7 separate regions of the Mus musculus genome follow, and all the other regions are reported to be linked to region 1. The links are microRNA targets in miRTarBase. Many come from high-throughput screens and were not tested one by one. Region 1 holds a microRNA gene; each other region holds the end of a gene's coding sequence. Distances are between the middles of the regions.

The links. The annotated mature microRNA mmu-miR-3064-5p reads UCUGGCUGUUGUGGUGUGCAAA and lies in region 1 at 2,855-2,876, shown strand. An mRNA with a match to its seed (bases 2 to 7 or 8) in the 3' UTR can be bound and repressed. Matches are read on the target gene's strand: a 7mer-m8 pairs with bases 2 to 8, a 7mer-A1 pairs with bases 2 to 7 and ends in A, and an 8mer does both.
Region 2: the mRNA of Ccdc78 is a reported target of mmu-miR-3064-5p. Seed matches in the 3' UTR shown: 7mer-m8 at 2,930-2,936 and 7mer-m8 at 2,787-2,793.
Region 3: the mRNA of B4galnt2 is a reported target of mmu-miR-3064-5p. Seed matches in the 3' UTR shown: 7mer-m8 at 931-937 and 7mer-A1 at 999-1,005.
Region 4: the mRNA of Aida is a reported target of mmu-miR-3064-5p. Seed matches in the 3' UTR shown: 7mer-m8 at 2,762-2,768.
Region 5: the mRNA of E130311K13Rik is a reported target of mmu-miR-3064-5p. Seed matches in the 3' UTR shown: 7mer-m8 at 3,074-3,080.
Region 6: miRTarBase lists Il5ra as a target of mmu-miR-3064-5p. Seed matches in the 3' UTR shown: 8mer at 600-607 and 7mer-A1 at 2,289-2,295.
Region 7: miRTarBase lists Ttbk2 as a target of mmu-miR-3064-5p. Seed matches in the 3' UTR shown: 7mer-m8 at 33-39.

What each region holds. Positions count from the first base shown.
Region 1 is chr11:106,781,162-106,785,611 of GRCm38, reverse strand. Mir3064 (microRNA 3064) reads left to right here and starts at 2,853; the gene lies at 2,853-2,919. Ddx5 (DEAD box helicase 5) reads left to right here. Exons shown (of 13, transcript NM_007840.3): 6 at 76-217; 7 at 316-476; 8 at 560-732; 9 at 1,088-1,198; 10 at 1,450-1,511; 11 at 1,594-1,653; 12 at 2,919-3,143; 13 at 3,356-4,450. The coding sequence ends at 3,762.
Region 2 is chr17:25,788,781-25,793,230 of GRCm38, reverse strand. Ccdc78 (coiled-coil domain containing 78) reads right to left here. Exons shown (of 13, transcript NM_001165929.1): 8 at 4,360-4,450; 9 at 4,152-4,233; 10 at 3,913-3,992; 11 at 3,379-3,445; 12 at 3,206-3,306; 13 at 2,718-3,121. The coding sequence ends at 3,019. Antkmt (adenine nucleotide translocase lysine methyltransferase) reads left to right here and starts at 837. Exons shown (of 5, transcript NM_145410.4): 1 at 837-1,178; 2 at 1,555-1,659; 3 at 1,745-1,885; 4 at 2,248-2,298; 5 at 2,453-2,731. The coding sequence starts at 1,017. The coding sequence ends at 2,683.
Region 3 is chr11:95,862,200-95,866,649 of GRCm38, reverse strand. B4galnt2 (beta-1,4-N-acetyl-galactosaminyl transferase 2) reads left to right here. Exons shown (of 11, transcript NM_008081.3): 11 at 374-3,091. The coding sequence ends at 579. Among named protein-coding and RNA genes, the nearest start is that of n-TQttg6, 5.2 kb to the right of the region's middle.
Region 4 is chr1:183,321,691-183,326,140 of GRCm38, forward strand. It overlaps Aida (axin interactor, dorsalization associated), which reads left to right. Exons shown (of 10, transcript NM_181732.4): 9 at 594-711; 10 at 799-2,811. The coding sequence ends at 895. Among named protein-coding and RNA genes, the nearest start is that of Gm34102, 22 kb to the right of the region's middle.
Region 5 is chr3:63,912,015-63,916,464 of GRCm38, forward strand. It overlaps E130311K13Rik (RIKEN cDNA E130311K13 gene), which reads right to left. Exons shown (of 5, transcript NM_177856.5): 5 at 2,677-3,724. The coding sequence ends at 3,323. Among named protein-coding and RNA genes, the nearest start is that of Plch1, 15 kb to the left of the region's middle.
Region 6 is chr6:106,708,328-106,712,777 of GRCm38, reverse strand. It overlaps Il5ra (interleukin 5 receptor, alpha), which reads left to right. Exons shown (of 13, transcript NM_008370.2): 13 at 313-2,403. The coding sequence ends at 396. Among named protein-coding and RNA genes, the nearest start is that of Il5ra, 38 kb to the left of the region's middle.
Region 7 is chr2:120,736,192-120,740,641 of GRCm38, forward strand. Ttbk2 (tau tubulin kinase 2) reads right to left here. Exons shown (of 16, transcript NM_001024856.2): 16 at 1-4,003. The coding sequence ends at 3,541. Among named protein-coding and RNA genes, the nearest start is that of Cdan1, 6.9 kb to the left of the region's middle.

The sequences.
Region 1 (4,450 bases):
TTCCCAACACACGAAGACATAGGGTCTTAGTAAACTGTTTTATACTAAACACTTTTTTTTGTTTTTCAAACTTAGTGCTTGGTGCTGGCACCAACTCGAGAACTGGCACAGCAGGTGCAGCAAGTGGCTGCTGAATATTGTCGAGCTTGTCGCTTGAAGTCTACTTGCATCTATGGTGGTGCTCCCAAAGGACCACAGATTCGTGATTTGGAAAGAGGTGTGTGACCATAAAGGGGGATCTTTGTCACTGATGGAGATGATGGTTTTGTGTATTATAGTTAAAGCATCTACTCCTTTTTATTTATTTAATTAAAGGTGTGGAAATCTGTATTGCAACACCTGGAAGACTGATTGACTTTTTAGAGTGTGGGAAAACCAATCTGAGAAGAACAACTTACCTTGTCCTTGATGAAGCTGATAGGATGCTTGATATGGGATTTGAACCCCAGATAAGGAAAATTGTGGATCAAATAAGAGTAAGTATCTTTATGTTATCATAAAAATCAGTTCTAGGAATGCTCTTAAGATTGAAGTGTAACTTGCTTCCTTAAATCTTCAGCCTGATAGGCAAACACTAATGTGGAGTGCAACTTGGCCAAAAGAAGTAAGACAGCTTGCTGAAGATTTCCTGAAAGACTATATTCATATCAATATTGGTGCACTGGAACTGAGTGCAAACCATAACATTCTTCAGATTGTGGATGTATGTCATGATGTCGAAAAGGATGAAAAGTGAGTTTACATTTTTACAAATTGAGAAAAATCTTACATAAACTAAGAGTAATCAATTCTGAAAATTGTCTCAAAATAAAATTAAGGTAGTGTGCTATATGTTCTTTTAAAAGTCCATTTGTTGGTGATATGGCTTGGTGTGATATGAAGAACTTGCTTGGCTTGCATGAGGAAAACACTCATAGTTTTTGAACCTAGTCACTACACAAGCACGCATAAAGTGATACACCTGAAAATCTGTATGTGTGGTGGCTTAGTGGGTTTGACATTTGGATTCACTAAGCAAAAAATCAGGGTTGTGTTTGGTTTTGTTTTTATATCCTTTTAAAAATGGTGAGTTTTTCTTCATCTTTAGGCTTATTCGTCTGATGGAAGAAATCATGAGTGAGAAGGAGAATAAAACTATTGTTTTTGTTGAAACCAAAAGAAGATGTGATGAACTTACCAGAAAAATGAGGAGAGATGGGTATGTGGTTTCCTGAGTCAAAGCAGACTTAAAAGTACTTTGATCTGGGGCTAGTGTTTTTTGGGAATCATGCGCTGTGATATAGGGGTAATTGTATGGATTCGTTCCAGTGACTTGTAGTAGGCTCTGGGTTGCAATGCTTAGTGGGAAAACACTTGGCCAAGATGAAGTACAGTGGGAATAGATATTGGTAGAGTCTTGACAAGAGTTTTAAGTTGGGTATACTACTGATAATTTAATTCTTGGTATAGGTGGCCTGCCATGGGCATCCATGGTGACAAGAGTCAGCAGGAACGTGACTGGGTTCTAAATGGTATGTATTTCAAATAAGATTAGTTTGTAGCTTGATAACATCATTTGCTTGCATTAATGATTATTCATGGTTGTCTTTATAGAATTCAAACATGGAAAAGCTCCTATTCTGATTGCTACCGATGTGGCCTCCAGAGGGCTAGGTTAGTACAAACTCGAATTCATGGCTTGGTTTCCCAGAAGATCTCCATGTAGTTTTTTTTAAAGAAAGTTTATTGCTTTCTTTAACCTGCATTTTTTCTAAGTTTTTTTCACATAAAGGTGCAGTCTTTGTGGCAAGGCCTAGGCATGACAATCGGAGGACTCGAGGGGGATGGAGGACTAGTGATCGGCTGGCTGCTTCCAGTCGATTAGAGAGGTGAAAAGCTGAAAGTGTGCCAGTAATCTTCAAAGGGCAGAACATACCACCTCTGCCCCATAAACTGTTCTCTCCGGGGGAAAAAAATGGAAGTTACCTCACAGTTCACTGCCGTGGTATTTCATCTGTCCCATGCTTTGCATGATTGCCATGGTACAGCATTGTTTCAAACTGTTCACTGTGATCTGTGGGTCTTTGAGTTTCAGTGAGTTTGCTGAAATGTCGAAGAAATATTTCCAAACTTCAATGTTCAATGAAATTTTTGTTCAAGTTTGAAATGGAGAGAGCAGCTTTAAAAGCCTTTTACAAATTGGTGAGTACTGGCACATGAGACCTAGAGCAGGACCAACTTCTCACACATAGTCAGTGGGAAAAGAAAGTGCCTTGAAAGTTCCTCCCTCACCTACACAGTAGTCGTCATGTCGAGACCTGCCAGAGAGAGACACATTCTCAAGTGAATCCTGGCTTCTTGGAAGCGCTTGCCTAGACGAGACACAGTGCATTAAAACAACTTTTGGGGGACAGGTATGTTTTTCTTGCAGCTGCAGTTGTAAGGTCTTGGCAAGACAAGCAGTGTGGCCAGAGTTTTGAACTTCTGATGAGTGTAATGCAAAGGACCTTTACATTTTTGTTAAAAGGTCCTCAAAAATGAGCACATGAAGAGATTGCTGAGAAACTTTTAATTGGCCCTACTGCGCAGAAGCATTCAGATGTCACTTGATGATCTGTAAGGGGACTGTCAATTTGGGAATGTGCTAAGGAGAACACACATTCCCTTGATAGGCTGTCAGTGGGTGGGTGTTAAGACAGCTGACATGTGCAAATTTTTTTGTTGTTTTTTGGGTGTTTTGGTTTTTTTTTTTTCCTACCCTGCCCTTTTTTCCTACCTCAATGGTGTTCCTACAGGAAATGGATAACCATTTTAACTGTATTTTTTTCAGCCCGTACCTTCTTGGGAATACAATTGTCTAACTTTTTATTTTTGGTCTGGCTGTTGTGGTGTGCAAAACTCCGTACATTGCTATTTTGCCACACTGCAACACCTTACAGATGTGGAAGATGTGAAATTTGTCATCAATTATGACTACCCTAACTCCTCAGAGGATTATATTCATCGAATTGGAAGAACTGCTCGCAGTACCAAAACAGGCACAGCATACACTTTCTTTACACCTAATAACATAAAGCAAGTGAGCGACCTTATCTCTGTGCTTCGGGAAGCTAATCAAGCAATTAATCCCAAGTTGCTTCAGTTGGTCGAAGACAGAGGTTCAGGTAAGGATCTTCGTAAGAGATGTTTCTGGTAGGTGGCAGTTACCTCTTGTCTACAAAGTGGGATCGGAAGAATGAGTACTTCTTATTTTGAAACCTAAAGAATCTAAAAGCACTTAAGACCCAACATAAATAGAGCTATCTAACTCTCTCCTATCTTACCACACTTATGCCACAGATAAAAATTGATCAATTTCCACTTACTTTCTTGACAGGTCGTTCCAGGGGTAGAGGAGGCATGAAGGACGATCGTCGTGACAGATACTCTGCAGGCAAAAGGGGTGGATTTAATACCTTTAGAGACAGGGAAAACTATGACAGAGGCTACTCTAATCTGCTTAAGAGAGATTTTGGGGCTAAAACTCAGAATGGTGTTTACAGTGCTGCAAATTACACCAATGGGAGCTTTGGAAGTAATTTTGTATCTGCTGGCATACAGACCAGTTTTAGGACTGGTAATCCAACAGGGACTTACCAGAACGGTTATGATAGCACTCAGCAATATGGAAGTAATGTTGCAAATATGCACAATGGTATGAACCAACAGGCATATGCATATCCTGCTACCGCAGCTGCTGCGCCTATGATTGGCTATCCCATGCCAACAGGGTATTCTCAATAAGACTTTAGAAGTATATGTAAATGTCTGTTTTTCATAATTGCTCTTTATATTGTGTGTTATCAGACAAGATAGTTATTTAAGAAACATGGGAAATGCAGAAATGACTGCAGTGCAGCAGTAATTATGGTGCACTTTTTTCGCTATTTAAGTTGGATATTTCTCTACATTCCTGAAACAATTTTTAGGTTTTTTTTGTACTAGAAAATGCAGGCAGTGTTTTCACAAAAGTAACTGTACAGTGATTTCAAATACAATAAATGAAGGCAATGCATGGCCTTCCAATAAAAGATATTTGAAGACTGAATTAAGTGAAATTGTACTTTATTTTACATATATAATGTCATGTACAACTTGGCTTAGATAGTGTTTTTGGGGGGGATTTTTGTTTTGGTGTTTATTTTTACACAAGGAAAGTTGACTACTTCCCATTCCTGGATTTAGGAGAGGAACTCAGAAGGCCCTTAGGATGATCTGTTTGTATGGGAAGAAGTTAGAGACAATGGATTTTATAATTCCAGATTTATTGGATAAAAGCTTTGTCATTTTTCAGTATCAGGGAAGTAAGTCATTTAATAGCCTATTTTCCTTAAGAGTGAACTACAGGACAGTAACTATATAAATACATGTTGATTTCTTTTGCAAAACAGTTTTAAGTAATGACATTTTTGCTTTATCAAAATTTTATTCC
Region 2 (4,450 bases), not on the chromosome of region 1:
CTGTCCTGCAGATGGTTTTGGAGGGTAACACTCTGTGCCTGGGCGATAGGGTGGTGGTATTGGGCATGTTCAGTTTGGAAGCCATCACCGTCTATGCTAGGGATAGCCGAAGAGGCCATGAGTGAGCATAGTCAGGGAAGATCTACCATTCTCAGACAGTTAGCCTTGATGTGGGTGGTCGGGGTCCAGCAGCTTGACTCAAGGCTCTATCTGTTTCCATGCAGGGCCTTACTAAGAGTCACTCAACCCTTTATTTTTGAAAGAAGGAGATCTTCCGGACTCCTGGGCTGTCTTCCACCCTAGGCTGGGCCCTTTGCCAGCACCCAGTCGCTCACATCCGGCCCCCTCCCTCCGTACTCACTAGAGAGCCAACATCTGTCTCTAGCTGCCCGCCCCTCTCCTTCGACCCCAGAATACTCTCTGTTTCCCGCCTAATTATTGTCGCGGAAGAGGGGGAGGGGCGGCTGGAAGGACGTCCTCTGTGGTTTGCTTCTGGATTTTTGGTAGGCTTTCAGTCATTTCTTGTCTTGATCAACAGAATTTGCGTGAGAGTGCCTTTCAGTTATAGACCCTGGCTATAACCCGAGGCTGCCGGCCAGCAGTACAGCCTCAGGGGGATTTAGAACAGATTCCATTCCATGTGGTTGTCTGTAAAGTGGACCCTGAAGCTGACCGCTGTATGTCTCGGACCGTAGACCCACTCGTGGCAAACCCTGTCATTCTCGCCCATCGCCTGGGTCATCGCTACCCCAAACCATCACCCGGAACCCAAGGAGGGTCCCCCGGATGGCTGGGCGGAAAAGAATGAATGTCGGACTGGCCTCGGAGGCCTCTTCCACTTCCGGCGACTGATCGCAGCGGATACTTAGATTTCTGCAGTTGCGGCTGCGGTTGGCTGGCGTACGCTGCAAGCGGATAGAGTTTGGCTCAGGCTGGGGGCAGCGGGGAGGGCAACCGCTTCCATTACCGGCCGGGAGCCTTGGGAAGTAGGACCTGGAACTGAGTGTCTGTCAATCATGGATCAGGACGACCCAGCCGAAGCGTTGACTGAGCTACGCGAGAAGCGGCTGGGCTTGCTGGAGATAGTGCAAGCGGCGGCAGGCTCGGGATTGGCCGTCTATACTATATGGGCGCTGCTGCTGCAGCCGGGCTTCCGCCGGGTGCCTCTGAGGCTGCAGGTGCAGCGTTGAACCTTGGAAGGAAAGGGGCCAATACTGGTGCAAGCCAAGGTTCCATGGGTGGGGTCAAGGCTACTGTAGGTAGCGTAAAGATGGGCGGAATCAATTATGGCGCGGGACCTAACCCGGGAACCCGATGTACGGAGAGTTGGGACCAGGAAGTTGCGGAGCCTGGGTCTTTCGTCAAGACCAAGTCTAAATGAATGAAGCTGGGATTGAGTTACTTAGGGGGTACGGGCCTATGACTGGAGAGTGGGCGGGGCTCACTGGATGGTATCAATTTAAGAAAGGAAATCTAGTAGGCTCCCATCGGCCCCCAAACTGGTGCTTCTGCCTGTGTGATTTCTAGCCTCAGCCCACCAAATTCCTTATTCAGGTGCCCTACGTTGGCGCGAGTGCCCGGCAGGTTGAGAACGTGCTGTCACTGTTGCGAGGCCGCCCTGGAAAAATGGTGGATCTAGGCTCTGGTGATGGCAGGATCGTAAGACCTGTGTCTATATATTCGTTGTCCCTCTGGTGGTGGCCCCATTCCCTTCATCCAGATCCCACACTCTTGGCTCCCATAGGTGCTGGCGGCCCACCAATGTGGTCTCCGTCCAGCTATGGGATATGAGCTGAACCCGTGGCTTGTGGGACTTGCACGGCTGCATGCCTGGAGAGCCGGTTGTTCTGCGAGTGTCTGCTACCATCGAAAAGATCTCTGGAAGGTACCCTACCAAACTTGATACCCCTCCCTCCCCCTCCCACTCTCTTTCTTTCCAAACTTGATTTTCTTTACCCTCCCTCTTCCTTTCATTTTTTTTTTTTTTTTGAGATGTGTGTCCAGGCTTATCTCAAACTAGCCTTGGATTATAGGCATCAGACCTAGTTTATGCAGAACTGGAGATTAAACCCAGGGATATGTGTATGCTAGGCAAGCACTCTGCCACCTGAGGCACACCTCCAGCTCCTGATATCTTTATCTCCCAAGTTTCATGCTCTGAGTGGCTATTATGTGGATATCTGGGTGGGCTAGAGGCCCTACCTTGGGGACTGCATGCCCTCCAGCCTTTACCCTTGTTTTCTACAGGTGAGCCTCAGGGACTGTCACAACGTGTCTGTGTTCCTGGCTCCCAGTGTGGTAGGTTTTGGGTCTGTTGTCCTGCTGGGAGATCAGGGCCACAGTCTTGGCTCTTGGATGCTCTCGGGCCTGGAATATGTTCTGGGCTCAGCTGGATGGGGCAGCTTTTTCTGACCTGCTCCTGTGTTCTTTTCCCTCCTGTTCTTTCCTACAGCTCCAACTGCTGGAGGACAAACTGCAAGCAGAGCTCCCTGTGGGGGCCCGTGTGGTATCTGGACGATTCCCCCTTCCCACCTGGCAGCCTGTAGCTGTGGTGGGCGAGGGCACTGACAGAGTTTGGGCCTATGATGTCCATGGTTCTGGGCCAACTGTGTCTTCTTGTGGGGTGCCCATCAAGGCCATCCCAGAGTCCAGTTCTACCTTAGTCCCTAGAGCCCCTGTTTGACAAACTGGCTGACTGGATAAAATAAAGACTCTGTGGGTTCAATCCTGACTTTTGTTTGTTCCAGGAATCACTTCCTGGGGCAGGGTGTCCAGAGGGTTCCATGCTGGCTGTAAAGAGATTTCTTTTGAGATTTTTCTGGGAGACTAGCTAGTGACTCTGAGTCCTTGGGCGCTGAGGCCTAGTGGAAGATACAGCTTTTTTTTTTTTTTTTTTTTTTTTTTTGAGACAGGGTTTCTCTGTATAGCCCTGGCTGTTCTGGAGCTCACTCTGTAGACCAGGCTGGCCTCGAACTCAGAAATCTGCCTGCCTCTGCCTCTGCCTCCGGAGTGCTGGGATTAAAGTCGTGCGCCACCACTACCCGGCGAAGATACAGCTTCTACTCCTTGGGGATCTCCAATATTCACCAACTTCCTCAGTTTCAAGATTTCCTGCTTGTACCTGATTGGAATGATAAATCACTTGTCTGGCCATGGATTCTTTTCTTTCCACCAGATTAGGACCCTGGAGCCACATCCAGCCTACCTGCCCAAGTGCTGGTCCACATACTCCTGTAGCTCAGAAAGCTGCTGCTCTGCCATGGTGGCCCGGACCATCAGCTGTGCCCGTTCCCGTTCTAGCTCTGCCTGGTGGAGGCATGAGTTATGAGCCATGGTAGGAGGTAGAGTAGGGGGTCTCCGCCGCTCCTTCCCTACTACCTGAGTGTCCTGGGAGAAGTCCTGCAGCCTCTGCTGGATTTGGGCCCAGGATGCAGTGTCTAGGGCCCTGTGAGGAGAGGGTAGGAGGGGCAGTCTCCGAGCCAGGCATAATACTTGCTGCGTGGTTTTAGGACAGCATAGCACTGCCTGGAGCCCCGGAGCATCTGCACTTGGATAGTCCCCTGACTAGCTCAGTGAGCCCTCGTCTACACAGTGTTTTCTTCCCCAATTCTTGGGAGGTACTATCTCAAGAGCCTGCCTGGTATACAGCAGGTATAGAGGCCCAAATCTACAGCTGCCGAGGCCACTAGGCTGCCCACTGTCACCAACCCCATTTCACCTATCAGATACTTAACAAAGCAGCCATCCATTTTCAGTGATTACCAGTGTTCCATTCAAACTGAGATAGCCCAGAGCAGGGATAAGAGAACCCTACTCAGTAGCGAGGGTTGCTAGAATGAATGAAGGCTGTTCAGCTTCTGGTTCTCTCTGCCTGACTTGTAGACCTCTCCTATATCAACAGAAAGCACTCACAGTGGCTGTGACTTGTTCTCCTTGGAAGTTTCACCAGATCCCTTCTCTGGGTACAGTAGCAGTGTCCTATGTCGGCCATACTGTAAAAGGACATGGTGGGTTCCCTTGGCTGACTGAAGAAGGCCAACCGCTCAAAGACTTTGAGTTTGGGATGAGGCCAGGGGTGAGTCCTTCCTGGGCCTCTGGGCTTCAAGGCAGTTTGAGACAGTAGGGAGAGGGCACCTGGGCCCCAGTATTACCTCGTTTTCTCTTGGGTGGCTGAGTTCAGTGGCCCAGTGCATGGGTAATGGCTCCAGGTTGATGGCTGTTGCAAAGGTAGCCCTAGGAATACCATATGACCTGTTGGGATCTGTGGGTGCCTGGCGCTGCTCCTGCAGCACGCTAAACCACAGTACAGGTCGCATGTTGCCATCCCACTCCAGGTGCCTGAGTCAGGGTGGAGCCCACCTGCAGGTGGTTAGCAGCAACTCCTGCCTCTGGTTCAGATCTGCCAGGCGCTTTCGGTAGGTCCGGGCAGCTTGGGCCAGCTGTTGCTCTC
Region 3 (4,450 bases), 11 Mb from region 1:
GAACTCATGGTCCCTCTTGCCGCCCTCATCTCCCGGTGTCTCCCTATGCTGCCTCTGCCCACTTGAGACACGTTTCTCCGTCCTTCCCCGCAGCTCAGCCCTCTACCTTTCTCAGCTTCAGTCTTCTTTCAGAACGTCTTTTCCACCAAAAACTGCACTTAGGGACTGCCCTCTCCCTTCACCCCTTCCTCTCCAGAACCCACAGTCCCATTTAGTGGAACCCAGCGGACTTGACGCCCACTCTCCAATCTGAGAAACTGAGGTTATCTGTTTCTTTCCTTTCAGCTCCAGGGCTCCCTGTCCGGCGTGGGTGGGGAACCACAGCTGTCTGTCTTTAGCTTCCTTTTGTCTCCCGTTCCTCTTCTCTTTGCAGAGTTCTTTATTGATGGGCTGGGGAGACTGTTGGTGGGCTCTTGCCCGGGTGTAATTATAAACCACCAAGTAAGAACACCACCAAAGGATCCAAAGCTGGCTGCCTTGGAGAAGACTTATGACAAATACCGGGCCAACACCAATTCTGTGATCCAATTCAAGGTTGCACTCCAGTACTTCAAGAACCATCTCTACTGCTCCACTTAAAAAGTACCAAGACCAGGAATCGCAATAAACAGATTAGCGGCGGGCAACAAAAAAAATAGTAGGATTGGACATTGGAGGGTACCAAAAGCAGACTCCTAACAAGGGGAACAGGGAACAAAGAAGCTGGAAGCTGGAGCTAGGGTAGGACCCTGAAGTCGGCTCAGGACCCCCAAGACCAAATTCTCAGCACAGAGATTTATCTGCCCTAGAGAGAGAAAGGGCAGGGAATGAGACAAAGACAAGGGCTGGAAGGTGGTGGGGCACACCTTTAATCACAGCACTCCGGGGGCAGAAGCAGGTGGATCTCTGCGCATTTTGAGGACAGCCTGGTCTACAGAGAGAGTTCCAGGACAGCCAGGGCTACAGAGAAACTCTTATCTTAAAAAGGCAATAAGTTGATCTAAAATAATGTTATTTAAAGCCAGATGATAAGGTTGGTGTAGTGTTGTGATCCCAAAGCCCAGTAACTGAAGTAGGAGGATTGAGTTCAAGGCCAGCCTGGGCTATGTAACAGCCCATCTTTAAATGAGTGACTAGGGGGCTGGAGAGAGCTCAGTGCTTAAGAGCGATTAGGACAGAGGACCTAGATTGGCTCCCAGGACCCACATGATGAGTCACAACTTCATACCTGCAGTTTCAGGGAATTGGAAGCATCTGCTTACCTCCAAAGGCTCCTGCATATGAGTGGTGCATACATACACGCAGGCACACACATATGCACACAAAATACGCTTTAAAATAAATGAAGGAATGAGTGAATGGCTAAATATTAACCAAATAATTCCGATTTTATTTTGTCAAGACTGCCTGGCCTAGCACTCACTGTGTAAGACTGACCTCACACTCATGGCAATCCTCCTGTCTCCACTTCCCAGTGCTGAGGTATGAGGTGTGAACCACAATTTCTGGCTTGGATTTTTAAAAAGAATTTACACACACACACATACATACACACACACTGTAGCTGTCTTCAGACACATCAGAAAGGGCATCAGATCCCATTACAGATGGTTGTGAGCCACCATGTGGTTGCTGGGAATTGAACTCAGAACCTCTGGAAAAGCAGTCAGTGCTCTTAACTGATAAGCCATCTCTCTAGTCTCTAGCTTGATTTTTAAACTTTGACTTTTAAATATACTTATTCATTATAATTTTTTTTCTTTTTGAGACAGGGTTTCTCTGTGTAGCCCTGGCTGTCCTGGAACTCACTCTGTAGACCAGGCTGGCCTCGAACTCAGAAATCCGCCTGCCTCTGCCTCCCGAGGGCTGGGATTAAAGGCATGCACCACCATGCCCGGCTTATATTTTGATTTTAATGGGATATTAAGATGGATGTTAAGATTGTGAGCTTTCAACCCTGTCTCGGAAAACCAAAAAAAAAAAAAAAAAGAAAGAAAAGATTGTGAGCCTTCATGTGGTTGTTGGGGATAGAATCTCCACTCACTCCAGTCAACCCTGTTCTCAGTCCCTGCTAACTCCGGCCCAAAGATTTATTTATTATTATAATTATTATACGTAAGTACACTGTAGCTGACTTCAGACACACTAGAAGAGTGTCAGATCTCATTACCGGTAGTTGAGTCACCATGTAGTTGCGGGGACTTGAACTCAGGATCTTTGGAAGAGCAGTCCATCCTCTTACCCTCTGAGCCATCTCGCCAGCCCATTTCAACACTCTGAACATACTTACACTTTATTTTTTACTTCCTGAGGTAAATATTGCTCTGAGCTAGACCATAGAAAGCCAAACACCAGTGGGTAAGGAGGCGAGGAATGACATGCCAGCTAGTTGTGGTGTGGGCCTTTAATCCCAGCCTTGAATTCAGAGATCCTCTAGCCAGGGCTAGGCAGTGAGCTCTGTTTTGTTTTGTTTTGTTCTGTTTTCAGAACAAAACCAAAATCAGGGGCTGAGGAAATGGCTCAAAAGGTGAAGTGTTTGTTACCCAAGCATGAGGACTTGAGTTCAGATTCCCAGAAGTAAGGCATAGCTGCCAGTCTGTAACCCTGGGCATTCTCACAGCAAATGTTAACATCCTCCATTTTGACTGGGTTGTCGTTAGCATGCTCAAACACAGTCTTTTCTCTACTTCAAGATCTAGAACCATCTCTCCAGAAGAGAGAGAGAGAGACAGAGAGTGAGTTAGTTTCCTATGATCCAGTAACACCTCTTCCCCAGGAACACAGGATGTTCTAAAAGGACATCCATTCAACTCAAAGGGTTCAGGGACTCCCTGAAACCCACCAGACAGACTAGGCCCCCTCTTTTCCAAGTATATTAGCTGTGAAGACTGCTGAGAGGCACTCTCAGACAAGTTGAGCTGCCTGAAACAGACATTCTCTAACCTGTTGAGCTGTCTGCAAGTTGTACAGAGGGCTTCAAGTTTACAGCTTTTGTGACATGGTGAGCTTTCATGGTGCCGCTGTCTTTCGAGTCATTTGTGATCCTGCGGTAACCCCTCACCCATACTTCTGTCTGTAACCCCAATAAAACTCATCAGTCTGCTATACTGGACTCGGGTGGTGTGCTTATTTTGATCCGTCATTGGTTCCTGATTGGAGTGAGTACATGTTTGTCCCCATCTTCCCAAGGTTAGTGTCACATGGCAGGGTGATATTAAGAGTCTCTGAGCACAAAACTGGAACATTTCTTCCTTTGGGTCTTCCCGTGTCCCAAAGCAAGTGGCTCAGTGACCAAGTCTGTTAAAACATTAGCCACATTTAAAGACTATGAAGGCCCAGGGCCCACTCTTGAGACTGCCAGCCACATCAAGTGGAGTGAGAGGGCAGGTTAAAAAACAAAAAACAGAAACACAACGAACCCCCTTCCTGCTAATTCATACTGCAGTAAGCAAAGACAGGGAAGCAATCTTTTTTTTTTTTTTTTTTTTTGGTTTTTCCAGACAGGGTTTCTCTGTATAGCCCTGGCTGTCCTGGAACTCACTTTGTAGACCAGGCTGGCCTCGAACTCAAAAATCCACCTGCCTCTGCCTCCCAAGTGCTGGAATTAAAGGCGTGCACCACCATGCCCGGCTGGAAGCAATCTTTTAATGCCACCAGAGGAACACAAGTAGGGTTACAGTGAGTGTGCCAGTTCGATTAAGTTAAGAAAGAAGGTGTGGGGAATGCCTGGGACAAACCTGAGCATGGAGAAGTGGGGACACAAAGGCAGTCACTGTCACCTACACACTCGCTGTAGGGATATAATCCTCTTGAGAACCCATACCAGGCCAGTTGTGGTGACAATGTCTTCGATCTCTGGTCTACAGAGCCAGTTGTGGGGCAGGAGAGCTACAGAGCTATATAGTGAACCCTGGAAAGTGGACCGGGAGTGGGGGGGGGGGGCGGGGAGGGGAGGGGGAAATTATGCCAATGTGTCCTGTGCAGTCATGGGACCCTTTCGGAGGGTGGGGCAGGTCTCTATGTAGCCCTAGCTCTCCTGGAACTCACAGAGATGAGCCTGCTTGTGCCCACAGAGTGCTGGAATTAAAGCCATGTGCTACCACGCCCAGCTCACATGGCCTTTGTAAGAATGAAATAAGCGGGAAAATAAATGAGGTCTACAAATGCCTAGTGTTCAAGCACAGCCTTGAGGTACTGGGTTTCAGACCCAGGACAAGAGGCTGAGGTTTTGGTATTTTACCAAAGCAGACCTGGCCTCCAGGTTCTCCCAGCATCCCTCAGTCCCTACTTGAACTCTGCAGCCCAGAGGCTGGGCTTCTCCTCAGAGGTTCTTCACTATATAATCCAGACATTTTGTTTTGGTCTGGGCATCCTGTACCCCCAGCCCCCTCTGCATTTCTCTTCCCCCCTCCGCTCTGTCTCCTTGTCTGCACGGTGACCTCCCTGGTCTCATTTCTTGGGACTGGTGAAC
Region 4 (4,450 bases), not on the chromosome of region 1:
GACTTCATCAAGCTAACATAAAACTATCTAGCACAGTGGTGTACATGAGTTTGTATGTGTGGGTTCACATGTATATGCAGGTACACCTATACTTGTGTGCACATGTATATGGAGGGCCAAGACTGCCAGTGGAAGTATTCTTCAATTACTCTTTCTTATTCATTGAGACACATTTCTCAGTTGAACTCAGAGCTCACTGACACAGCTAGTCTTCCTAACCATTTTGCTCTAGGAGTTTTGTCTCTCCATTCAAAGCTGGAATTGCAGGCAGGCCACCATGGCCACCTGTCAAATGGGTTCTGTAATCTGGACTCCAGTCCTCATACTTGCATGACAAGTGCTCTAACCACTGAGCAATCTTACCCTACTCGATATTCCTTAGTGATTTAGTCTTGAGTCAGTCTTGCTCAGGAAGGTTTGCTAGACTTTGTAGAATTACAGAGAAATACAGCAGATTGTGGTGGTGTCCCTAGCAGCCAGTGGTCACACCTCGACAGACTGTATTTAACAGGTTACTTTGTTTCTGGTGAGTAAAGAAAGCTAATTAACACAGAAGGTGCTGCCCGTGGTTTATATGTCTTTTAATTTCTTAGGTGCGGCCATTTTCTTTGAATTCAAACATTACAAGCCTAAAAAGAGGTTTACCAGCACTAAGTGTTTTGCCTTCATGGAGATGGATGAAATTAAACCTGGGCCAATCGTAATAGAACTGTAAGTTTTGGGCATAGCAAATGAATGGAACTTAGGGGTCAATCAAGCAGAATATTTTAAACAATAATCTTTCTTTTGTGCTTTCAGATACAAGAAACCCACTGACTTTAAAAGAAAGAAATTGCAATTGTTGACCAAGAAACCACTTTATCTTCATCTACATCAAAGTTTGCACAAGGAATGATCCTGATACAAATAACCAAGAACTTGTGTGAATTTTACCACTCAGAACCCATCATAGCTCTGAGTAGCATAATCACCCTTCAACAGGCAGGAAGTGAGCCCTTCAACAGGCAGGAAGTGAGCCCTACCCACGCCAGCTGACCAAGCGAGTCTATTGCACAGCCGGACCCCAGAACAAAAGTTCAGCACATCACTGACCTATCACTCCTTTGGATACAGGTTTATTGTAGATTTGGAAACGTTTTCACTTTTCTATTAATTGTGCAATGAATAGTCTATTTTCTCATTGCCTCTACTCCCCTGTTTCCCGGACAGCACTGTTGTAGATGTGCAGAACTTCAGACAATGCAGCAATAAGAATGTGCAAGAGTCTACGTCTCTGCTCACTTCTGCTCCAGTATGCTCTTCTGGTTTCAATGCCACGCTGTGAGTTGAAGTGGGTAGAACTGCTCTGAGAGGAACTGGACTAGTTACATTGCCTAGCAAAGTCTCCTTAGAAGAGACCTAGCCTGGTGCCATGGGTCTCCTGCATAGAAAGTGTGACCTGGCCAGATGAGCATCCCACCCTGAGTGTTCCCCGGATGACCAGACTGATTTCCTGAAGAGAGCACGTGTATCGTCAGGTGGATTATCTGCTCTTCTCTATTGTACTGCTAATTCTTTCTGGTAGTTCTAGGGTTAACGTTGGAACCATCTCAGAATAACTATGGATTTGAAAATGTGTTTACAGTATCTTTTAAACTGTATCATTTAGGAACAGTTGAGTCAGATGTCAAGATGTTGCGGGATAACTGCTGCTTTCCTGACCACCCGTTGTGAGACCTTAAGACCCCGTACCTCTCCTTAGTATGCAAAAATCTGGAAAGACTGTCTATTTTTTTTTAATATAGGTAGATAGGATTGCCATTTATTTCCTATTTAGATATACAGTCATTCATCCATATGAAAATATGCAGGTCACTAGTTTATTTTGAATGGACTATTTACTTTTGGTGTAACAAGGCATAAATAAAACTTTGAAAGCACATGATGGATGGTTGTTACACAGAGCATTAGGACTCATGAGGGGCTTTCTGTGGGTTAGACATGCCATATACTTTAATATTCACATGTCAGTGACCTCACCACACCATTCAATATACTTGCTTTTTCAAGTAAATAACCACAAGGAAGATGTCTTAAACTTGTCCTTCAAGAGATCTAGTCTTGGCTTTCATTCAGCACCTACTAGGCCACTGTTTACTAGATGGAGCTTAATAAAAACTGTATTTCAGGTTCAACCTGAAAAAAAATCCACAACCAAATTAATCTTGATTGGGTAGTTCCAACTGCTAAAATCATCCCATCTATAATAGCTCTAGGGGGAGGAGATTTTTGCCTTAAATTAGCTCACTCTCCCACTCAGGCTTTGAGTTGTAGGTCCCCAGGCTGTAAGCTCCTGGGGCAAGAGTTGTAGCTGTCATGGAAGGGTCTAAGGTACTTGGCAGTACTCTGTACCTGGGGAGTACTCAGTACATTTTGTTTGATATTGCTGACTAGACATAAAAATTAATTCCTTAAAACCTATTATTATTAAAACGTAGCAAAGACTGTACATTGTCCTTTCTCATTTCTTACAGATCATAAAAGACAAATAGCAAGGTGGTAATTTTCTGTGCTACAGCACTGATCATTCACACAGCATGGCATATATGAACCACAAATGCCTGCCGTCAGGGTTAATAAAGCACTTTAGTGGAACATGATATTAAAAACTAAAGCTCGCCAGGCACTGGTGGTGCACATCTTTAATCCCAGCACTCGGGAGGCAGAGGCAGGCAGATTTCTGAGTTTGAGGCTAGCCTGGTCTACAGAGTGTGTTCCAGGACAGCCAGGGCTACACAGAGAAACCCTGTCTTGAAAAAAAACCAACTAACCAAAAAAAAAAAAAAAAAATTAAAGCTCAGCTTTAAATCAGACCCGAATGACAAGATTGTCTTAAAGCAGTGAACACAAAAGCACTCCCCACTTCACAAGTTGAGTTTCCGTTGTACTGAGCAATAGCCTTGTCTCTAGCACAGATGCTTTCAAGGTGAGGTGTGGCTCCTTCCTAAAGAGCTTTAGCTATTCAACAGAGAAACAGCGGGAGGGGACTTCTGAAACAAGAACTTTTAAATGGAAGAGTCCGACTCAACTGAGGTATCCTGTCCTCTGTGCCATCCGTAGACAGACAGGCTTCTGTAGCACAGGCCTCGTCAGATGGGGCTGAGGAAAGGCAGTAATCGACTGGCTCAGAGGGCACAGAAATGCTACAACTGAGGGTTCTACACATATTTCTGATGATTTTTATGATGATAGAATAACTAAAGGCCTTTAGAGGGAATATCCTAATTTTGAATATTAAAAAAAAAGGTTTACCTTTACTATTTGTCTTCTTAGCTTGTATAATTTTTATTTTATATGCCTTCTAAATTTAGGTTAGTCAAGATAGCTGAGGCAGGAGGATAGCAAGTTTGATCAAGCCTGGACTATATAGGTGAGACCTTATCTTTAAAAAAAAAAAAGGTAAAAATTATAAACTATATTTTTACTATTTTGTGTCCCAAGATTGACAGATACTTTCAAGAAGTTGTGTTTGCAATTTAATATTATTTTTATATGGTTAAAAATGGCATGTGTGGCTAAAGAGATGGTTCAGGAGTTAAAAAGCACTTTTTGATCTTGCAGAGAACCGGGGTTCAGTTCCCAGCACCCACATGATGGCTCACAACTGCCTGTAACTCCAGTTATGGGGATCTAGTGCCCTCTTCTGGCCCCATGGGTACCAGACACAACACATGTTGCACATACATACATGCAAGCATGCAAGCAAAATGCATGTGCATAGCATAGAAAATAAAGTTTCAAATTATATATACTCTCCTGTGCATTTTCTTATAAAATCTTGTGTAATTCTGGATTGGGGTCAGGCAGGCTGAACTCTTACTCCCTTGGACCTCCTGCATTCAGAGAACCTGTCTTTGTATGTCTTCAGTCATCGAAGATTTTATTTCACATTGAAGCTTTTGCTCATTTTTTTCAAAATCTCCAGTGGATTTAACTTCCCAGCAGTGGCATGATGTGCCCTTGGTTTCAGTCATTGCTTCACAGGACTTTAGAGAGTGCAGTGTCACAGTGAGCTGTTTTCACTTGTTATAGCTTTAATTACTGCAGCTTACACGGCTGCAGCAATTCACCTCGCTCACAACAGCCGTGTTACTGAGCTCAGCCCGTAGTTCAGGATGTACACTGGTTTTCTGATCTTTCTGCCTTATGGCAGCTTCCTGATTCTTTGCCATACTCCTTGAAAATCAGCTGCAAGGTGATATGAGAGAAAACAGAATAGACATTTCTAAAAAGAAATGATCTTACAGTCATGGCATATGATTTTTATCTTGTTAGTCACCCTTAGCGAAAGAATGGTTTTAAAAGCAACAAAATACCAGGTCGAATAATTTTATGTCAATTTTTTCCCCACACGTGCTGCAGCATGTGTGTGTGTGTGTAGGTCGTGGGAAGTGGTTCTCTTCACTAGGTG
Region 5 (4,450 bases), not on the chromosome of region 1:
GGAAAGGGTTTATTCAGCTTACATTTCCATACTGCTGTTCATCACCAAGGAAGTCAGGACTGGAACTCAAGCAGGTCAGGAAGCAGGAGCTGATGCAGAGGCCATGGAGGGATGTTACTTACTGGCTTGCTTCCCCTGGCTTGCTCAGCCTGCTCTCTTATAGAACCAAGACTACCAGCCCAGAGATGGTCCCACCCACAAGGGGCCTTTCCCCCTTGATCACTAATTGAGAAAGTGCCTTACAGCTGGATCTCATGGAGGCATTTCCCCAACTGAAGCTCCTTTCTCTGTGATAACCCCAGCCTATGTCAAGTTGACACACAGAACCAGCCAGTGCAATGGAAAACAATAAAGTGCAAGAACTTAAATGTTAACTTTTCTGTAAAAACAAGACAAGTTATTGAGGTATTAGGAGCAGGAAACAAAAACTACAATATAGCATCCTACTCCAAAAAAAAAAAAAAAAAGGTAAAGATGCAAAAATACATTTAGAGGCTTCCAAACTCAATGAAAAGTGATAGTGCTTAATGTCTAAAGGCTCAGAATCCTCTTCTTAGGTTTTAACAAGAAGTCCAGCAGCTACTAATGCTAAATGCACAGCATAGACTCTGTGCTGGTTTGAATGAGAATCATCCCCATAGGCTCATATGTTTGAATACTTGGTCCACAGTTGGTTGAACTCTTTGGGGAACCATTAGAAGGTGTGGCTTTGTTGGAGGAGGTGTGCCACTGGGGTCAGGCTTTGAGGTTTCAAAAACCCTTGCCATTCCCACTTAGCTCTTTTGCCTTGTGATTGTGGATCAAAATGTAAGCTCCCAGCTACTGCTCCAGGACTATGACTGTCTGCCAGCTGCCATGCCCCCACCATGACGGTCATGGACTCTAACCATTTAGAACCATGAACCCCAAATTAAGTGGTTTCTTTTATAAAGTTACCTTGGTCATGATATGTTGTCAGTGTTGAGAGCCATTTTGTTCCATGTCTGCCAGCTATTTCATATTGTTGCTGTAATATGCCTGCCAACTTAAGTCAGAGCAGAGTAATGCTGACCACATACTCTGTTATGTCCTGTATTTTATGAGGTTTGTTAATCTTAAACAATTTCACAACTATAAGCTTCAGGTAGGACCCATAAAATTAAAGGTCAATATGATCTGTTATATCTAAAATGGCTTAAGTCAGGGCTGACCACTGGGCATTACTTCCAGTACTTGTGTATGAGCTCACTGTGGGGTTTTTTTTTTTTTTTTTTTTTTTTTTCAGTTTTCGCCTTTATAAGCTGACATAGAAAAATGTTTGGGGTCATAACCCCAGCTCACAAATTCTAAGCTATGGCTCTCTAATAGATCAGTCTTAGGGTGTGTGTTCAATAAACCATCCATGTCTGACTAAGATCAGTGTTTGTGTGGTTTGTGGGGTGACTCTTGGACCCCAACTGTCAAGGCAATAGGAAAGTGACCTGCTAGGTCTGACTTTTCTTGGTATCACATTTTTAAAAAAATTCTTCTTGGCTTGGCATGGTAGCATTTAGGGTGCAGAGGCAGAGGCAGAGGCAGAGGCAAAGCGAGATCTCTATGAGTTTAAAGCTAGCTTGGTCTACATAGTGAGTTCCAGGCCAGTGAGAGCCTTGTAATGAGACTCTATCAAAACCACAAAACAAAACAAAACAAAAAAAAAAAACCAAACAAACAAAAAACCAAACAAAAACTCCCTTTTTATATAGATTTTTGAGGATGTTAGCCACTCTAGTTGGCGGTGCCAACCTGGAATAGTGTGGCCTAAAAATGAGGCAGACCAAAATCTTATGCAATAGCCAAATTTATTCAGAGCATTAACTCTGAAGGTTAAGAGAAGTCACCTGAGTAAAGTGTACAATCACAAGGACATGTGGTAAAAACATGTTTTTCCAAAGAGGCATATAAACAAGTAACAATATCCAGCTGTAATGAATACTCTGGAGTAAGCTCACTCCTATCTGCTATGCCTGGGAAGGGCACGAAAGCACATTTCAAAAACAATTTTGCTTTTGGAGAAACTTAGGTCACAAGACTCTTGTCTTGTTTTCTTGGAGATTTCGCACAAGCATTCTGAATTCCCCTTGAAGGACTCCATTATTAGATCAAGTCCCAACAGTTAGCAAATACTGTTGGCCTTGTGAAAGAGGCTTACATTGTCAGGAAGATTTTAATATATACATTAAAGTGGTTTGGGGGTGGTTTTGCTTTTGATATTTCTGATTTTTAGATAGTGTCTCATATTAATTAGCTCAAACTGGTCTTGAATTCTGTATGAACCAAGGGTGGCCTTGAACTCCTTATCTTCCAGTCCCTACTTACCAAGTGCTGGGATTACAGGTGCATGCTACCATGCCCAACTCCAAATTTACTATCAAGGCAGAATACTCTCTCATGCAATGAGGAGTTAGAAGGCAGGGTAGTTTGAGAATTGGCGAGTTCAGGGGCTCCGCGATGTCCTAAAGATCGTTCCTTTCTGACATCTGTGCTGCCGTCCTCATCTCTGTTTTAAGGGAAATCCTCTTATCTAACTACCGGATGGAAATAACTGTATTTATTACGAGAAATGGTGGTCTTACCTCTTGGATCAGTGGTCCTAACTCAGCAGTGGCTAGAAAGATGACTGGAGAAAAAGAGTGATCTCAGAAAGAATGTTTTTTTAAATTCCTTTATTATAAAGTTGATAAAACTGAAAAACAAATGTCAAATATGGCTGTCCTAGACAACTAATATAACAGTCGATACTTAAACTTCCTCTTCAGACATTAGCACTATAGGGCTGGTAATGTAGCTCAGTAATGATGTGCTGCTAGACCAGAGTACCTGAGGCCCTGAGTTCAATCCCTGGCACTAGGGTACAGGGAGGCAGAAGAACAAGGCAAAACATTAGTTCTGCATATATACATCTTTCTACTGGGTAACTTTTTACAGTGTGTCACTACTTTCTAAAAGTATATTACATTGATCATAACTTATTCAAATTGATTCTGATTTTAACAATGTTTTTTTGTTTTGTTTTGTTTTTTGTTTTTTAGAGACAGCGTTTCTCTGCATAGCCCTGGCTGTCCTGGAACTCACCCTGTAGACCAGGCTGGCCTCGAACTCAGAAATCTGCCTGCCTCCGCCTCCCAAGTGCTGGGACTAAAGGTGTGCGCTACCACGCCCGGCCTTAACAATGGTTTTAATGTACAAATACTGCAAGACTGGGATTTTGATCCCCTGAGGGAATTTCCATTTTGCCTCAATGAAAAGTGCTCACACAGTTCCATGGCGTTCTTCTAGGGTTACCTCCAGACCTCACAACGCTTCATCCTTTCCTCCAAAAGTGTAAGCGGCTCACAAATTCTCTGAGTTTCAGAAAGAAAGAGTAGTTGCTCACGCTGTCCTTCCCCTTCCCGGACGCCCTGCGCCGGCTGTCGTGATAACTGTCTTTGGTGGAGCCGAGGTCTGCTCCAGCTGGTTTTAAATCATTGTCCTTTGTCCATCTCTCTCTCCAGGAGTCTTTCAATTTTCTAAAATAGCTTTCTTTTTCAGACTCTTCCTTCCATATTCCTTCTCCTTTCTTTAAGGCCGTCAATTCAGCTTTAAGTAAGTTTCTGTGAATTTTCCAGTGGGTTTTTGAGTCATAATTTAGCCCTTTAACAAGGACGGTTTTGCCCAAGCCTCTTCTCAAAATCTCCTCATTCAGATTCACGTTAAAATATCCGCCCTTGAATAAAAAGGAGGAAACCAATTACTTAGGAGTGATTATTGTGATTATTATAACCATAATATCTTATTTACCTTAAAAATGCGGCAAGAACAGAAAAAAGAAAAAAAAAAACAAAAAAACAAAAACAACAACAACAAGGATAACAAAACCCACCACTACCACACACCACCAACCAAAAAACACGTAATGCAAGGCCTCCAGGTCGAGTTTGATAGCACATGTTTGTAATCCTAGCATTTGTGAGGCTGAGTTTGAGTTTGAGTTTGAGTTTGAGTTTGAGTTTGAGTTTGATAGCACATGTTTGTAATCCTAGCATTTGTGAGGCTGAGGCAGGAGGGTTACTTACTTATTCACGTCCAGGTTGGACTACAAAAAAAAGAGATGCAGTCTCGAACAAAACGGTAACAACAATAAAACAGGGCATGGAGATATCCAGCATCCATGCAAACAGCTAGGCAAGGCAGTTCAGGCTCATATCCTGGTGCTGGGAGGCAGAGACAGGTGAATCCCTGGATGTCACTGGCCAGCCAGCTGAGAGGTGAGTAGGTGATCTCTAGGTTCAGAAAGAGAAGGGAAAGGTGCAGGGTGATGAGGGAAACACCTGATATCAAACTCTGGCCTTCATGCATGCACACACAAGAGTGCACACCCGTATACCCCTACACACACACACACACACACACACATACACACACACAAACATATCAACAACAAAAGGATTGA
Region 6 (4,450 bases), not on the chromosome of region 1:
CATTTTATAAAAATAAATCTGTGTGTCCCTGTTACTTCATCACAATTGTAAAAGAAAGCTTTATGCTTCAAGAAAGGCTGAGAAAATGGAATAGGGTATATTTAGGAGATAAGTTTATAGCTACAGTTTCTTCTTCCCACTTGACTTTTCCTAGTTTCTAAACAGACTACTGTTCTTTAAAAGTTACTTCAAACCAACTGTGAAAAAAACAAAAGAAAAAAAAAGAAAAAAAGAAAAGAAAAGAAAGAAAAAAAGAAATCAAAGATGAAATGTTCCCTAAAAGACCTGTAAGGAAGTTGCTTTGTTTTGCAGAAACCTTCGAATGAAACCAAAATTGAAGTTGTACATTGTGTGGAAGAGGTTGGATTTGAAGTCATGGGAAATTCCACGTTTTGATGGCATTTTGCCATTCTGAAATGAACTCATACAGGACTCCGTGATAAGAGCAAGGACTGCTATTTCTTGGCAAGGAGGTATTTCAAATGAACACTCAGAGCCAGGCGGTGGTGGAGCTCGCCTTTAATACCAGCACCTGGGATGCACAGATGGGAGGATTTCTGAGTTCGAGGCCAGCTTGGTCTATAAAGTGAGTTCCAGGACAGCCAGAGCTACACAGAGAAACCCTGTCTCGAAAAAACAAACAAACAAACAAACAAAAATGAACACTCAGTTTGAATGCAAGTCACCAACCCATCCAGACATGAGTCACCAATGTCCCATTTCATAAAGTGTGCATGCCTCACTCAAACCTCCTTGCTCACAGCATAGCACCAGACTCACCCAGAGCATGGGCCTTTGGTTTCCTACCCAGAGTACCATGTTATACCAGTGTGTCTTTGAAAGTTGCTTGACTTACCTTGAACTTTTTGCACAGGAGACAGTTTTTTTAAGCTAATGTCACACATGTTTACTTTGGGTTAAGTTGCCAGTGGTAGCACTCAGCTACAGTGACAGGAGGAAAGGATAGAACTCATTGAGAGTGAACCCAAATTCAAGACTGTCTTTCCTGAAGCAAGTGGGAGACACAATTTCATGGTGCTTTTCCCCTTTGAGTTCTAGAATAGTTTTCTTTCTAGAACTGTGCCTGTGTCTTAAAGCATAAGGTAACATTGAGGCAAAAACAAAGACTATGTCCCACATGTCCCTGTGTTCCATAGGCCTGTTCAAGGAAATGTCTAAGCCAAAGTAAGTTTAAGTCACCGTGCCTGGGGTGAAAAAGATGGTTCAGATGACGAAGAAGCATGAGGGCCTGAGATTGATCAACCAGCATCAAGAAACAACAACAACAACAGCAGCAGCAACAACAAAACAGTGCAAGAAGCACATTCCTATAACCCCAGAGTTGGGAGATAAAGACAAGAGGATCCATGGGAATTGTAGTTCAACCAGTTTAGCCAATTATGTTTTCTCTAGGTTCACTGAGAGAAATGGTCTTAAAAATTTAAGGTGGAGAGTGACTAGGCAGATCCTCTGATACTGACTTCTGCCCTAAATATGCATACACATGTACACACACAACACAAAGACACCATTCCCTATTGAGAGAGAAGACAGAAGCTTGTTCAAGGATTAAATTCTTCAAGGCTTCTAGGTACTCTGGAAATGACCTGAGAAAGACATTGAAAATAATTCTGCTTTGGAGGTGATTGCTGGATCTAGAATGTACTTCCCAAAGAGATGTTTGATGAAAGAGCCTTCATGGCAACCTGTTGGTCAACTCATGCTTAGTCAATTCTAATCTCTTAAATTAGGGTTTCCTATACATATTACAATTGTATAAAAATGTATTCTCTAAATATCTTCATTAATGAAGCTGTATCTATAGGTCTTTTTGATGGGCTGAACATAGAAGCAAACACACTTATGTGTTGGGAAGAGGAATAAGTAGTGATAGAGGGACCTAGTGGTGGTTATTTTACATAGTCCTGAAGAGCTAAAGACAATGAAAGAAGAAATGGTACTCACAAGAGAGAGAGCTATGTCGGGGTCCTGTCAGCCAAATCTTGCTAGTATATGCAATAGTGTCTGGGTTTGGTGGTTGTATATGGGATGGATCCCTGGGTGGGGCAGTCTCTGGATGGTCTTTCCTTCCATCACAGCTCTGAAATTTGTCTCTGTAACTCCTTCCATGAGTATTTTGTTCCCCATTCTAAGAAGCAGTGAAGTATCCACACTTTGGTCTTCCTTCTTCTTGAGTTTCATGTGTTTTGCAAATTGTGTGCCTGGCAAATACAGAAGCAGATGCTCACAGTCATCTATTGGATGAAACACAGGGCCCCTAATGAAGGAGCCAGAGAAAGTACCCAAGGAGCTAAAAGGGTCTGCAACCCTATAGCAGGAACAACAATATGAACTACCCAGCAACCCTCAGAAATGTAAATGAAGAAAATATCTAATAAAAAATGCCTTAAAAAAAAGAAAAGGTACTCAAAATCCACAACATAACTTACTTTTTATGTACTTTATAGAGATGGTTTAGTCAGGTTTCATAATCTGGGTGAAGTGCACATGGAGTACAAAACATCCCTTGCATGGCTCTTATGCATTAACATAGAACCATCCACCATTCTGTGCTCAGAATGAAAGGTACAGCAGTCATGGACAACTGCTAATATTAGATCTTTTCTAAAGGGTCAGATCACCATACCAGATTCTCTGTACTGTCTCTCTGCTCTTTACAAGTCTGTACTGTGTCACTGGCATACACATTACTGCCTACCCCCATTAATGATACAGTAAATGTGGAAAAGAAAGGTCAATTGCTAGGAAAGGGTACAGTAATAAGACTCAGAGGAGCTCAGTAACACAGAGGAGATTATCACATGAAAGTTGAAGTTGACTTTAGGGGTCAGTCCAGGAAGTTGAGGCTCATGGAAGTGTGGCTATAAGAGGCAAAGAGTTTATTTGATCAACTAACTTACCAAGAATCTATCAAAATGGTACTAAAGACTCTTTATAATGGACACTGGTCTGATTGAGCAGGTCTCGGGTGGAGTCAAGAATTTTCAAGATCAGCAATTTGAAAGTAAGGCTGTGGGTCTGTATACCACACTTTGATAAATTATTAGGAACATCACAACTTGAAAGCTGACTAATAAAAGACGGAAATGACCAACCCCAAGAATTCTCTGTCTCTTGTCTTGCAAAGAAAGCATAGAAACACCATTTTGGAAACCTACCTCTACTTTGGACTTGGAGGCTGGATTAGAAGCAGAAGCAGGGAAGCTGCCCTCATACAAGGCCAGTTGTTAGTTTTATGTGTATAGGTCTCTCTTGAGAGATGCCTCCCTAGACCTAGAAGCAGGCATTCCTCTAGATGTCACAGACCTCCTGACCACATCCCTGGCTGGTGCTATTATCTAATCAAGGTACATGTATAAAAAGCAATACAAATAGTTCCTGTGGCCATGTCAACATGTGGACTTATTCTTCCTGATTCTTGGGTTAGGACAATCATTCTTTGGGAATCCATATCCAACATTATCTCTTCTATGAAGATTTCAAAATGTACCCAACAGTTTATTTGCTTCTCTGCTTGACAATATGCCCTAGGAACACTAGCACTATGCATATGAAATGTATCTTTTTATTTGCAGGGTCTAGAACAGTACATAACCTTTAAGAATTACATATGGTTTTAGGACCGGAGAGATGATCCAGAGGCTAAGAGCACTGATTGTTATTCTAGAGGATATGGGCTTGATTTCTAGCCACTTGGATGGTAGCTCACAACCATCTATAACTCAGGTCCCAGGGGATCTGATGCACTCTTATTTAGCTGGCATTTGCTACATTGTGGGTTCTTCTTTCTTTTACCCTTCTCCATCCCCTTTCTTCTACCTGTTCAATCCTCTAACACTAGATAAAAGGAAGAAAGGATAGAAAGGAAACAGATCCCTTAGTAAAATCAGGGGTAAAAAAGGGGGCAATGTTATCCTTAGACTACTTCCTGCTGAGTAGGGTCACTGAGTTCCATGATGTAAGTTTGATCCTCACTGTCAGGATATCTAATTTCTTCTTGTTGGTGTTTCTTCTTTGTGCATGACTACTTAACAAACTGTGACCAACAGCCCACTACCACCACCAATAATAATCATAACCACCACCACCACCCACCCACCCACCCACCCTCAAGGCCCTAGCATTTATATACCCTCAAGTCCTCAAAATTCCAAAATGTCACACAATTGCAGAAACTATCTGCAGTTGGCAAATCCTGTTTCCTCCCCCGACCCCCAACCTCCAACCAGAGAGCAAGGCAAATCATAGTCATCTGCTGAAGTCCCATGTACCCCACACCTGGGATTAAAAAAAAAAAAAAAACCTTATATTTGTGTGTGTGTTTAAGAAATCAAAAATCCAAATTTTTGAGACAGTATCTCTCACTGAACCTACACTCTTATGGCTTCAGTGGGGCACTAGCATGGAAGTGGCACACAGACATTCATTG
Region 7 (4,450 bases), not on the chromosome of region 1:
TGTTTTTGTAGCCAGGGTTTCTCTGTATAACCCTGGCTGTCCTGGAACTCACTTTGTAGACCAGGCTGGCCTCTAACTCAGAAATCCACCTGCCTCTGCCTCTAGAGTGCTGGGATTAAAGGCGTGCGCCACCACGCCCAGCTTGCCTAGATGTTTTAAGATCTCTATCTTAATGCTGAATCAGATAGGATACAATTCCCTCCTGTTTTCACTATCCATTAAAGTCAAGATATCTTTAGGATGTGCAAGATTACGAGGTATGATTTTAATATTTCAAGCAATTCACAAAGCCTACGGGTCAGTAGTATAATTTGGGGGCAACATTACCTAAAATTAGGAACTAAGTGTTCATTCTTTGCTCCACTGAAATAAGCACAGGACAGGCCTGAGTTAGTAACCTGTGTAGATAGAAGCCAGGAGGTACTTGTCTCCCAAAAGATAATTTCTGTCACACCCTACTTCTATTATGGCTACAGTCATGTTCTTTACCTTATTTGGATGATTTGTGACTGAAATATGAAATATGCCATCAATAAAAACCTCAAAGAACTGAAAACCCAAACCAAACCGAAAGCTTGATTCTCTAGATCATACTCCTGAGTGAAGAGCTGGCTTAAGACTGCCAATTTTTATTTTTAACCTGAAAGAAATGTAACATGTAAAAGCACAAACTATGTTTTTTAATCTTTTGTTTGTTTTTTTAAGACAGGGTTTCTCTGTGTGGCCCTAGCTGTGCTGGAACTCACTCTGTAGACCAGGCTGGCCTCAAACTCAGAAATCCACTTGCCCCTTCCTCCAGAGTGCTAGGATCAAAGTGTGTGCCATCACACCAGGTTCTACTTTTTCATCTCTGTATCAGGACAGCACTTAATAATAAATGTAACTACTGATACATACGATATAATTAATTAGTCCATTTCCTTTTCTTCAGAGCAGAAACATCTTTGGTTGGTTCTTTTCCCTACATACAAAATAAAACATTCTCACATAATGAGGCGTTTTGTCTCTGGATTTTGATGAGTTTGTGAACGGCATGCAGAAAAGGAGGCAACACACTGAAAGACAGACAGAAAGCATCTCTGTCAGCATGACTGCCAGCAGAGAAATTCACAAAGAAAAAGGCTGGGCCCTGTTAGCTTTCCCAGTTACTATTAGCACATGTTTGACTAGAGAGGACAGCAAGAAAGCCGGCTACTTTTAGCATCATTTAGCTAATGTAACAGAAAGAATTTTAGTTACCCTACATCCCATCCCCACTTCCCTTCAAAAAAGTGACATGGAAGAGGCAACTTTCAGGAAATGTTTTAAAAAACAGTTGATGTCAGCTGCATAATTATAATGCCCATCTATCCACTCTAACCATATGGACAGAACTATGTGGCTAACATGAGTAATCTTTGAGCCTGTATTACAAGCATATCTTGTTAAAATTTTCCCCTATTAAAATACTTTTTAAGTGAAAATTAAGTACCTTACACCTTGGCTTGGTAACAAGTGCCAGCTGCTTCAGTGTGCACCCGGAAGGCAGGACTACTCTTAGGGACCACATGCCAAGAACATGTGTTCAGAAAATGAAGACAGGCAATGCCCAAGTGTACATGAAGCACACAATAGAAAAGGAATTTTATCATCTATAATCTTGAAATTACAAATGCAGAATGAGAAAAAAATGGATTTATATAAGCATATGTCTCTTCTATATTTATAAATATTTATATAATTTACCATGAAAGACATGCAAGCAGTACTGCAGTAACTGTTATACAATATAATACATAAGGATCAGTCTCCAGTATTACAGCTGTAATAGATAAACAACAAATGCGCCTTACCTACTGCACTGCTCTCAAGTGCCTGAACCTGGACAGAAATTAAGATTCCACACTATGCCCCATTTCTCATGGGAGACCTTATGTCTCAGTGTAGTGTCCCAAGTTTGAAAACGCTCAACACAGAACAAGCTAAGTTAGTTTAGTGCCTGGGCAGCTGGGATGCACCCCTGGAACATGCTCACTTAGTGAAGAAACACGTTTCCTTTTCCACCCCACTCCTGAAATTCAACAGTTACAGGTTTGGCAGCAATACAAAGTCAAAAAGTAGATGTTTGTTAGAAGGCAGATTTCAACAGCAGGCAGATCAATTTCCCTGACCTCAATAAGATTTTTATACACCCACAGAGCATCAAATAGTCCACTTAAAAAGTCTGGTGTCTTTAATTTGCCTGATTTCTGCTAGTAAGAGAGTAAGATTAGAACGAATATGATCATCCTTACAGCTTTATAAACTGAAATTTAGATGTCAACAGCAGCTATAAACAAGAATTCAGGCCTGAGTTTCTTCCCCTTGGACTGTGCTGGACTGACGCTTCCTGTGCAGAGGCACGGACTCCTCATGTGCTTCCTACCTGCCCTAGCTAGTTATACTTACGTCTTCTTATAAATGTGGAAGTCAGGCTAAGAAGCCCAAGCATTAAACAACACAAGAACCAGGTAATAAAAACATTGAAAGAAAACTATTTAGTCTAAATTTATTTCCCAGATATTCATTCCTTATTGGCTAAATGTATAAAATACAAAATCTGATTGTAAGCCTTAGTAACATATTTTCTTTCTAAATCTCTAAAAGTATAAGCCACATTCCGAAGTGTTATTCTTTCCTAGATCACCCTGAAGGCTGACACTAGAAAGAACCCAGGGAAGCTGTCTCCTCCGCAGGCTCCTGAGAGGAGGAAGTGCAGTCAGGGGAAAGGTGCTTGTACCTTTGAAAGCCATTGTCCCACTCTGTCCCTCTCCAGATACTTTTGCCCAAAATAGCTCTAGATAGACATTTCTTTCATTTTTGAGATAAAAATATAGGAGTTAAGAATAAGAACTGTTGCTCAAACGAAAATAGCAAGGTTTGACTAAATAAAGGTAATTGGATTATCCTATGCTGATGAAAACACACATTAGGGTGTATTGTTAAAAATAAGAGGTAAAAACATTAATTTTAAAAAATGTAAAATTCAGGGAAGATACTAGGAATGAGTGGAAAGAAAGGTGTAGATTCACTAAATAAACACACAAACCAAATATACCCAGGTAATGGTTTCCTGGCAACAAGCTTCTTATATTTGAATGTCTGCGCAATGACTCTCCAAGGTTAGGAAGTTTTAAATAAAAATATCAAACAATTTTGCTATATACTTTTTGAGTAGAAGATTAACAAATTAGGCAAAATCACCTAAAATCCCATTCTATTTCCTATCCTCAATTTTCTGTTTCAAAGGCAGCTATAAACAAGAGCTCAGGCCTGAGTTTCTTCCCCTCGGACACTGCTGGACTGACGCTTCCTGTGCAGAGGCACGGACTCCTGATGTGCTTCTACCTGCCCTAGCTAGTTATACTTAGGTCTTCTTATAAAGAACTGATCATGTTACTTTCTTTTGCAAGAGAAGATCAACACTGATTGTTTGAAACAGACAGTACAGGGACACACATGCATCAGGTCTAGGAGGAAGAAGATCTCACGCCTTTCCCAGAGATGTAGCCTGCTCACTTCCTATCTGCTGAGTTTACTGGCTGGCTTACTCTTCCCTGGGGGAGTTTTAGAGCTGGTTGAGTGGTGGTGGAGGCTGCCAGATCCTTTTGGGCCATTCTTGCTGGGTTTGCAATGCTCCTGTTGGCAGGACCTCCTGGAGGACGATGATCCTGAGTGGCTAGGGGGTGACTTGCTTCTCCCCAGATGTGGGGAAGAACTCCTCTGGTCATGGTGGGGCCGTCCAGCCCTAGATGGTGAGGAACTAGATGTTCGAGGCAAGGATGAGCTTCGAGGAGAGGCACTGGGACTCCTTCGAGGTACAACTGGACTCTTGGGTGGTGTTTTTGGATTGTGAGGAGATCCTGGGCTCTTGCATTGGGTAGTACTCCGGGATTTCTGAGATCCATTTTGAAGAATTTGGGCCAGGCGAGAGAAAAGGTCTGAGTCAGAGTTACTACTCCCTAGAACTTTATATCTGCGTAGCCTTAAAAGAATAGAGAAGAATTAATTTTTTGGAAACAGGATATCAAAAATTCATTTTAAGTGTGCCTAAAAAAAAAATCACAGTATCCCAAATCATGATATGTATGAAGTATGTCAATACCAAAAAACACACTAAAAGTATACTGAGTTACTCTTTCAAATACATGCTGAGTTTGACATCTGCTATGTCTGTTTGGCCTTTTGGTTAATGTTTGTTTCCTTTGACAAGGTCTTCCTGTGCAGCCCACACTGATCAAGAACTCAGTATGTAACCCAGGCCAGGCCTGCCTCAGCTTCCCAGGTATTGGAATTATAAGTATGTATAATCTCCCAGCTTTTTATCATTCCTGGCCAAAGACACCTTGTTTGTGTGTTTTTTAAAAATTCCACTAGGGGCCACGAGTGGGTAAAGGCTCTTGAAATGATAGCCTAGTGACTTGAATTTGAT